Kluyveromyces lactis: one gene and its partner. The protein of the gene in region 2 interacts with the protein of the main gene of each other region in a biochemical or structural test. Links are inferred from orthologs where the notes say so. Each region holds a gene or a part of one and is shown on either strand. Other genes may lie near its edges. The genes, in order: STE4 and CDC24.

Region 1 (3,464 bases), on a different chromosome or scaffold from region 2:
CCTAGATGAGCAAGGTTGGGGTGAGTTTGAGCTAAAGATAATAGCAAAGGTCAAATTTTGCTCGACAACTTACACTTTTCATCACGAACTATCCTTCGATAATAATGCGTACAATGTTGATTATGAGGGAAGGTTTCCCTACCATCAAACCAAACTGCGGGAAGAGTTATTAAATTCTGGCAGTGTACCAATTTACAATGAAGATGAAATAAGTTTGGGTCAAGTTACAAACTTACAAAGGGCTATTAATCTTATATCGGTATCTGATGTTGATACTATTCAAAAGGTAATTAATACAATTGTTACATTTCCTCCGGTATCTGAAGAAATTGCTAAGAGACGTCATCAAGAGGATGACATTGTAATATTATTGTCTCAAATTCCGAACCAGCTGCTCAATAAAATTTGCAGGTTGGTGGAGGCTTCCTCAGCTGCATCTTAAAGTTTCACTTACTGCGATGAACAAGAGCCAAACTGAGCGGTTTCAGTAGTATTATAAGGGCTATTTTGCGGCTTTTTTCGATATGCATTACCATTCTCAGTTCATCATTTCACTGATGAACCGGTGTCCAAACTTTTAGGGTCATATCCCATGAGCTAGACACTACTGCCATTCCATCAGGGCTCGTCTTGACGGCATTTATTCTGTTTCGATGACCATCAACTTTGCCAATCATTTCTCCTTTGATAATATCCCATACTGCACACCCGTAATCCGCATAACAAGCGTACATCAATCTACCAGAAGAGCTGAAATCTATTGATATGACTCCTTGATCTTCGATACAACTTTCCTTGAAATTCAAAGATTGAGGTGTTTTTACAATTGGATAAGACGAAGTTGAAGAAGAGGATGAGCCATACCGATTTTTTTGAATACGAGAATAAGCATGAGAATGAGGATGAGGATGATGTTGTTGTTGAAGCTGGTGCTGCTGAAGTAAACCGTCTGAAAATGAGTACGTCGATATCTGACAATCACTTCTTAAGTCAAATAACCTAGCGCTACCATCATCTGAACCCGCCATGAAGGATTCTCCATTGTTGAAAAATTTGATGGCACTAACATCACTATCACTGATGAAAAAACTTTGGGCTGAATTCGGCTGTCTAACATCCCATAGATACGCATACCCGTCCGATCCTCCGGTGATGAAATTATGACCATATCGACCAGTGTTTGCTGGTGGTAAATCCATGGTCAAGACATCGCCTAAGTGATCTATAAATTCCGTAACTCTTTTACTTTTAGGAATATCCCACATAGCGCATGTCATATCACCACTTGCAGTCAAAATAGTCCTCTCATCAAGAAACTCCGTAGCTGAAATGTAGCAGGTATGGCCCTTGAAGATGGAAATCACATTCTGTTGTATTCTATTATCTCTTGAAACACGATACACTGAACAATGATTGTCCAAACCCGCACTTGCAACCAGATTTCCGCTGGGACTGATAGCGCTACTCAAGACCCATTGGGATAACAAGGGGATAGCGCTTTTTTTAAGCCCAGTGAAGGGATCCCATATGATTATAAACCCGTCTTGGCTCGAGCTGAGTACGCTTGCCGAATCCTGGCTCCATTTTACGTCTGAGATTTTATTATTATGTCCTTTCAAAGTTCGAACCGGTTGTAAGTTTAACTCGTGTAATGAATTGACGCCGTGAGACAAGTTCATCAATTGAGTGTCTTGAATTTTGCCTTTAATTCTGTTGATTTGGTCGTATAACTGCTTGCACTCCGTCTTTGCTGTCCTTATTTTGTCCTCCACTGTACCAGCTGAATTCATATTGGGATAATGGTAATCGTGCACAATCAGTTCCTGTGGACGAATTGCATATTCTGCTGAATCGACTTCCATCTTGGATGCTGTTTGCAACTAGACACTGTAATAAGGAAAGGAAGGGGGTTGAAATGAAATGAGTAAGTATCGAACTTTGCAAACTTCAATCAATGATCACCAGCATTAGAATCTGCGATTCGATTAAGAGGCACTCTGAAACAGATTTCGTCCTTTCTGCTGATTTCCTCTCCAGGACCTTCATATATATATATATCCCTAATTTACTCACAACAAACTAATTTACTACAAATATGAACAAGGCAATGTACCAAAAATGCCCATTAACGCCGCGAAAGGAAACGACCATATTTCTTCCATCATGTATATATATATCATGCATAAAAGTCATGTCATTTTTGCAAACAACATTAAACCTCCGAACCAAAGCTGTACAGGCAATCTTTCTCTGCTATTTCACTTGTTTAACAGATTGTCAACTTCGATGTATATGCTGTACTGCTGTTAAATCCTAATGAACCAATGCCTTATTTAGTTCGCTATGTAACTCAATTGCTAATTGCAGCTCAAACTTCCAGTCATGGATTTAGACACTCCAAATAAAAGCAAAAGTAATATAAAAGATATCAATGCACATATTCAAGCGTGCTTTCCTTAGCGTCTCGTTCTACAGCATGAGGAATTGTATCCTCAAAAGGGCCAGTGTCGAAGCTCCCCAGTGAAACAGCGTTGTATATTTCACATGATGCCTAGAAAAGCCTCTCTTAAACAAGACAGATCTTACCAAGTTTTTGTGAAATGACAACCTCAAAAACTGTCGCTCTTTGCAAGACGATCTCCACGCTAGGTGAAAAAATAAAATAAAGGAAGCCTACGCGAACACTCAATACAGACGCAGACTATCACATAGCTCTCACACCTTACTTAGATACATTTACTATGGCGTTATGGCATTTACTGCGTTCAGTTTTCGGTGACAGGGGAAAAGGTCTCCGGTACCAGGAACGGTTAATGATGTGTGGCTTGTAGCAACCAAAAAAAACCACTGTTCTAGAGTCCTAACTTCGAATGCAACATGTAGTCGAATTTGCTATCATGATGCAATGATACTATGATATACCTAATGTTCCCACATGAAAGAGCTTGCTGGCCACAAACCAAAAAAATGTAAAGATTAGGGAATCGAATAGATCCTGTTGTGAAAAACTGCTGCATAAGGTTATTCAAGGACGAGATGATACTATGACTATGCATTCAATGATAACTACGAGTTTATATATGCTAAATTGGTCCCGCTTTCCCGACGCTCACATCAGACCGCTGGTTTGGGCTTGGATTTGGGTTTCTTCTTGCTTTTCAGACCTCTTTCTAAATCACCTGTCACCTTCTCCAAGTACTCTGGAACTGGTTTCATATTTTTTAAGTAGTGCATTTTCCAATTTCTTGCCTTGTCCTTCAGTTGAACTTGGGACCTGTTCTTTAAAGATTCCGACACCGTTCCTCCAGGACCGTACAGAGATAATATTTTGGCCCATGCAGGTCCGCACTGTTTCAAACCGGATTTCAAACAATCTTCTTCCTCTTGTGTCCACATCTTTTTTTGCTTAGGTTTTGTCTTGAAGGGCTTAACGGGTAAGTCTATTCTTCTTTGAGGTTCATTGG
Region 2 (4,386 bases):
TCTTACATACTCAAAGGCAGAGTTCCATGGACGTTCCATCACCATGCATCAGATGCTGCTATAACAGCATCTGCAGATAAATACAAACCCATAGATTATCCAAAACCCGATGGAAAGATTACCTTTGATATCTTAACATCAGTATCAAGAACTGGAACGTATCACGATGATGACGAAAAATGCCATTTAAGAGTCCCTGAGCAAGATATGGAAAAACATACTAGTATTGCGTATCCAAAATGGAAGGGAATCGAATCAAGATTTTGTCCAGCTGGTGTTTATGAGTATGTTGAAGACGAAACCTCCCCATTGGGTGTGAAATTCCAGATTAACTCACAAAATTGTATTCATTGTAAAACCTGTGACATCAAGGTTCCAACTCAGGACATTAATTGGGAAGTTCCTGAGGGAGGTGATGGTCCAAAGTACACACTTACCTGAGTTTGTTAAATTAGTCAGAGTAAAATTTGGCCTGAAATATTTATTTATCTAATATAATTTATTTATTCATATCTGTAAAATATGATTTTCATTAATAACTGAACTTATATTAAATCAACCAAGTGAACCTGTCAAACTGGAATTGTCTTCATTTACCTTTGAAAAACGCCAAAAAGTGAAATCTATGTATAATACAATCAAAGGTAAAATATTATTAATATGTCTCAGTTTGTATAAGCCCAAACGTTCAATAGTCTTTCATTACTCTCTTTCAGCATATCTTTTACAACATACCAATCATCATCACTTTCCAACATCACAAAATCACCATCTTCATCCTGGTATTTTACCTTCGTGATTACTCCTAAATGTGCCAATTTCCTTTTAATCGCAAGCAACAGATCTTCCGCAGAACAGTCTAAGGATACTAAGACTGTGTAAAAATCGTTGTTGAATGAGACCCTCAGTAGAAGCATAGTGTCAGGGATTGAATTTTTGTAACTTTCGGATATAGATCTGTATTCGCTTGCAAATGACTGACGGGCATTGGACATATGGCTTTTGGGAAGGACTTCTGAGATTTGTCTGGTCAGAGTGCTACCAATGGAGGCAACACTGTTGTGAGAATATTGGACTGGTGAGGAGAATGACGACATATCGCTATTCGTATTGACACTTTTATAGGACTCGCTGCGAATTTGACGAAGAAGCTGATGAAGGCAGCTTTCCCAGTTGTTGCGGGTTTCTTCATTTTTGAATTTTAGTATGAAGTTCCCCTTTTCCTTGGCTGATTCCCAAATAATGTTCAGGGAATAGTTATCAATCGGAGCGACTTGAGTCAGGTTAACTATCATAATTCGACCTCTTAAATCCAGTTTCCCAGTGTTCTTCGTGAAATCATTCATGTTAGTGTTCGAAGAGTTTGAAAGATGAAGAACAGATGATGAATTCGATTTCTTTTTTAAACTTATTGAGCTTCCTTTCTTCTGGCTTACCTCACTGAATAATAGTATGATTTTTTCGAATAGATACACTTCAAAATCTTTTTCTGGCTCATTGGAATTGCTCGTTGATATTGATATTCTATCAAAGTACAATAACTCACCAAACTTAGCGATGCGGTAACCCTTCCAATTTACCACACGACCATAGAGACGTTTGACAACCTCGTAATTTTCTGTTCTCCTTTGATTTTCGTTAATATTCCTTGCAATGGATTTGGCAATACCCAAGGCAATCTCCAATTCTTTAGAATCACTTTCTGCGTGTTGTAAAAGATCTTTGAGAAGTAATGGGTATCTACACAATCTTTGGACTGGTTTGAGAAGGAATGATTGCAGTTCCATTTTATTACCGATGACAAAATTAGTGCTATTTGGGTTCATTTTGTTGAAACTAGACGAAATGAAATCAATCGCTGCATTTTGACCTATGGACCAAGGTTCATATAGCTTGAAGAAATATTTGGAATGCATGAATAAGGCCCCGATTCTTTGTTTTTGAGATGGAACTTGACCGTTGACTTCTAATGACACTAAAAACCGTCTTTGGAAATCGATTATGTCATTCAAATTGGGGAACAGCATGTACAGTTCTTCCGAGTTGATAATTTGGTTGTCTAAAAGTTGCTTCCTATACTTATTCAGAACTTCTAGATCATGCACGTACTTTCTCTCAGTCTCGATGAATTCTTTGACAATTTTATCATATTCTGTCTGTGGTTTCGCAAGACGTTGAGATTCCAACTGTGTGCTCATATCAATTTGTGGGAATACTTCAGGTGCAGCATTCAGCAACGTATTCACAACGTCCAAAACTTTCAAGAAATGATCTGTCGAATTTGAAAAAACGTCAGAAATGGTGAACAGTTCTTCGTCATTAAATGCAAAATGTTGTTTCAGACCAAGAATGAAGTCGTAGATAGATTTTTTACAAATCTTAATATCATCTGACGAGACCACCGTTAGCTTAGATTGAGGTCTTACGGCATTGAATATAATACAAAGTGGCGAACCCTGTTGAAATAGTTTAGAAAGTTGCGTTACAGGGTCACAATCGACAGATATAGGCGTAATACCAACAGAAAAAGTCAGTAAAGTGTCCTCCATATTAAAGGACTGAGAATGCTCAGAGTCCTCTCCAAAACTCGTAGCCGAGAAACTAGAGTCCCTATGAAGAGTACTTGAGGAGGAAAGTCTACCATTTGTACTTTGTGCACTACTACCTTCGTAATGCGAACCTCGCTGCCGATGTTGCTGCTGTGACTGCTGTTTCTGCGATAAAAGCAGGGCTTGGTGTTCTGCTAGAATCTCTGAACTCGAATGCGCTAAATTCAAATATGGTTGGAGCTGTGGCAGAAACTCTAATCTCTTCTTGATCATTAAACACATATGATATAATGACTCCTGTGCTGTCACCTTTTTGTTCATTAATAAATGTGTGCTATTTGAACGCACACTCGTCAGCGAAACATTGGATACTGATGGATTTACCGCCATTATGGCAGGCTGCAACTAAAACAGAATTATTCTCTGACACTCCTAGATAGTAAAAACCTTGTTTGTACAGCTCTGGAAGACTTACAACGATAAGAATTATTTTAACTTCACTTCGAAGACACTGGCTGTTTCGTTAATTTCAGTATTGTTTTATTCTATTCTTTTTTTTTTTTTCTTTCAAGAGTAATGTCAATACTGAGATCTCTGGGTCAAAACCTTTGGGGCCCGAAAACATTGTTGTGGATCAAATTCTGGAGGTTCTTTTTATATAGGAGATACTTCTCAGTGGTATTTAAGAGTATAACACCAATTAGCGGCACTTGCCAGGTGTCGTGTAATAATCCTACATATCTGGCATTGAATATTGATATACGCTAGAGTTTCGTTCTATAACTGGAAAATAAGAATTACAAGTGTCAAACTCACACATAACTTCTATATATGTACTTTTATAGAACAGTAGTACAATTTCTCTTTCTATCTATCTTTGCTTAAGAGCTCTTCTTACCCCAAATAGATTTTTGTGCTCTGTATGTGATTTTGTCAATGACAGTACCAACTGCCAAGACACCACCAATACTTGTGATACAATTCAAAAGGAAACCAGACCATGATGTTGCATGCTGTTCTTTATTTATGACTTTTAAAGGCGACATCTCAAAATTGAAGAAAACACCTGGGACACCTCCTTTAGAATGAACAGTGTTTGGATGGTCTTCGTCCCTGCCCCCTCTTAGAGGCCTATCGTGGTACGTGGCGCTGAATTGAGTAGTTTCAACTTTTTTACCATCTAAGAATTCGAATCTGGTAGGAATGATCTTGCAGAAGTATGAGAACTCATGGAAGTGTGTGTCGCGGTCTGGGAACACTTGGCGGCTGTCTAATGGTGAAATTGAAGCAGAACCGATCAATTCGCTGTCTCCATCCTTGGGTTTCTCTCCAAACGTCAAGGTGTTGATTATATGGTTGAAGTTCAAATGTGGGTATGCATCGTATAGCGAAGTGTCGTGGAAATGGCCACGGATATTACGCATTGAACTACCTGGACCGAAGTGGATGGTACCTTGTATTCTGTTTAATTGAGCACGTCCTTGAACACGACAACCTTCATGTATTCTGGCATTGATGCTCTCAACATATCCTTCACGTTCACATTGTTCCACACCTTTACCATCCTTGAATGCCCATCCTTTTTGTCCGTAGGCTGCACGCACATCGTCACAAGTTTGACAGCATACTTTTTGATCTTGTGGTAGCTCGTCATTCTTTGATTGGTCTAATGCACCATAACATGGTCCACAGTATCCTTCTTCGTTGAAGCTTTGCTTTGATGATTTGTCACCAACTTGGAACTTCTCCTTAGAGAGTTCCTTCCCTTCTGGGCTAATTCTGATCTTCGTGAATCCCGAATCTAATAGGTTAATCTGAAATTCCCCAGAATCGTCTA

Evidence for each region.
Region 1: the proteins of CDC24 (region 2) and STE4 form a complex in vitro, tested with the Saccharomyces cerevisiae proteins (2 studies listed by BioGRID). The link is inferred for Kluyveromyces lactis from reciprocal best matches to the Saccharomyces cerevisiae genes CDC24 and STE4.

What each region holds. Positions count from the first base shown.
Region 1 is NC_006040.1:584,687-588,150, reverse strand, and holds STE4 (G protein subunit beta), read right to left. Parts: upstream 1,863-3,464; coding exon 552-1,862; downstream 1-551. Other genes in the region: KLLA0_D06809g (uncharacterized protein), read left to right, coding at 1-442; TBF1 (Tbf1p), read right to left, coding at 3,115-3,464. UniProt on the Saccharomyces cerevisiae protein: Implicated in the a- and alpha-factor response pathway. The beta and gamma chains of the putative yeast mating response pathway G protein play a positive role in initiation of the mating response.
Region 2 is NC_006039.1:1,097,184-1,101,569, reverse strand, and holds CDC24 (Rho family guanine nucleotide exchange factor CDC24), read right to left. Parts: upstream 2,940-4,386; coding exon 666-2,939; downstream 1-665. Other genes in the region: CIR2 (electron-transferring-flavoprotein dehydrogenase), read left to right, coding at 1-441; retrograde cargo receptor ERV46, read right to left, coding at 3,431-4,386. UniProt on the Saccharomyces cerevisiae protein: Promotes the exchange of CDC42-bound GDP by GTP. Controls the polarity of calmodulin, and the calcium regulatory process of bud emergence. CDC24 may be involved in the initial selection and organization of the budding site.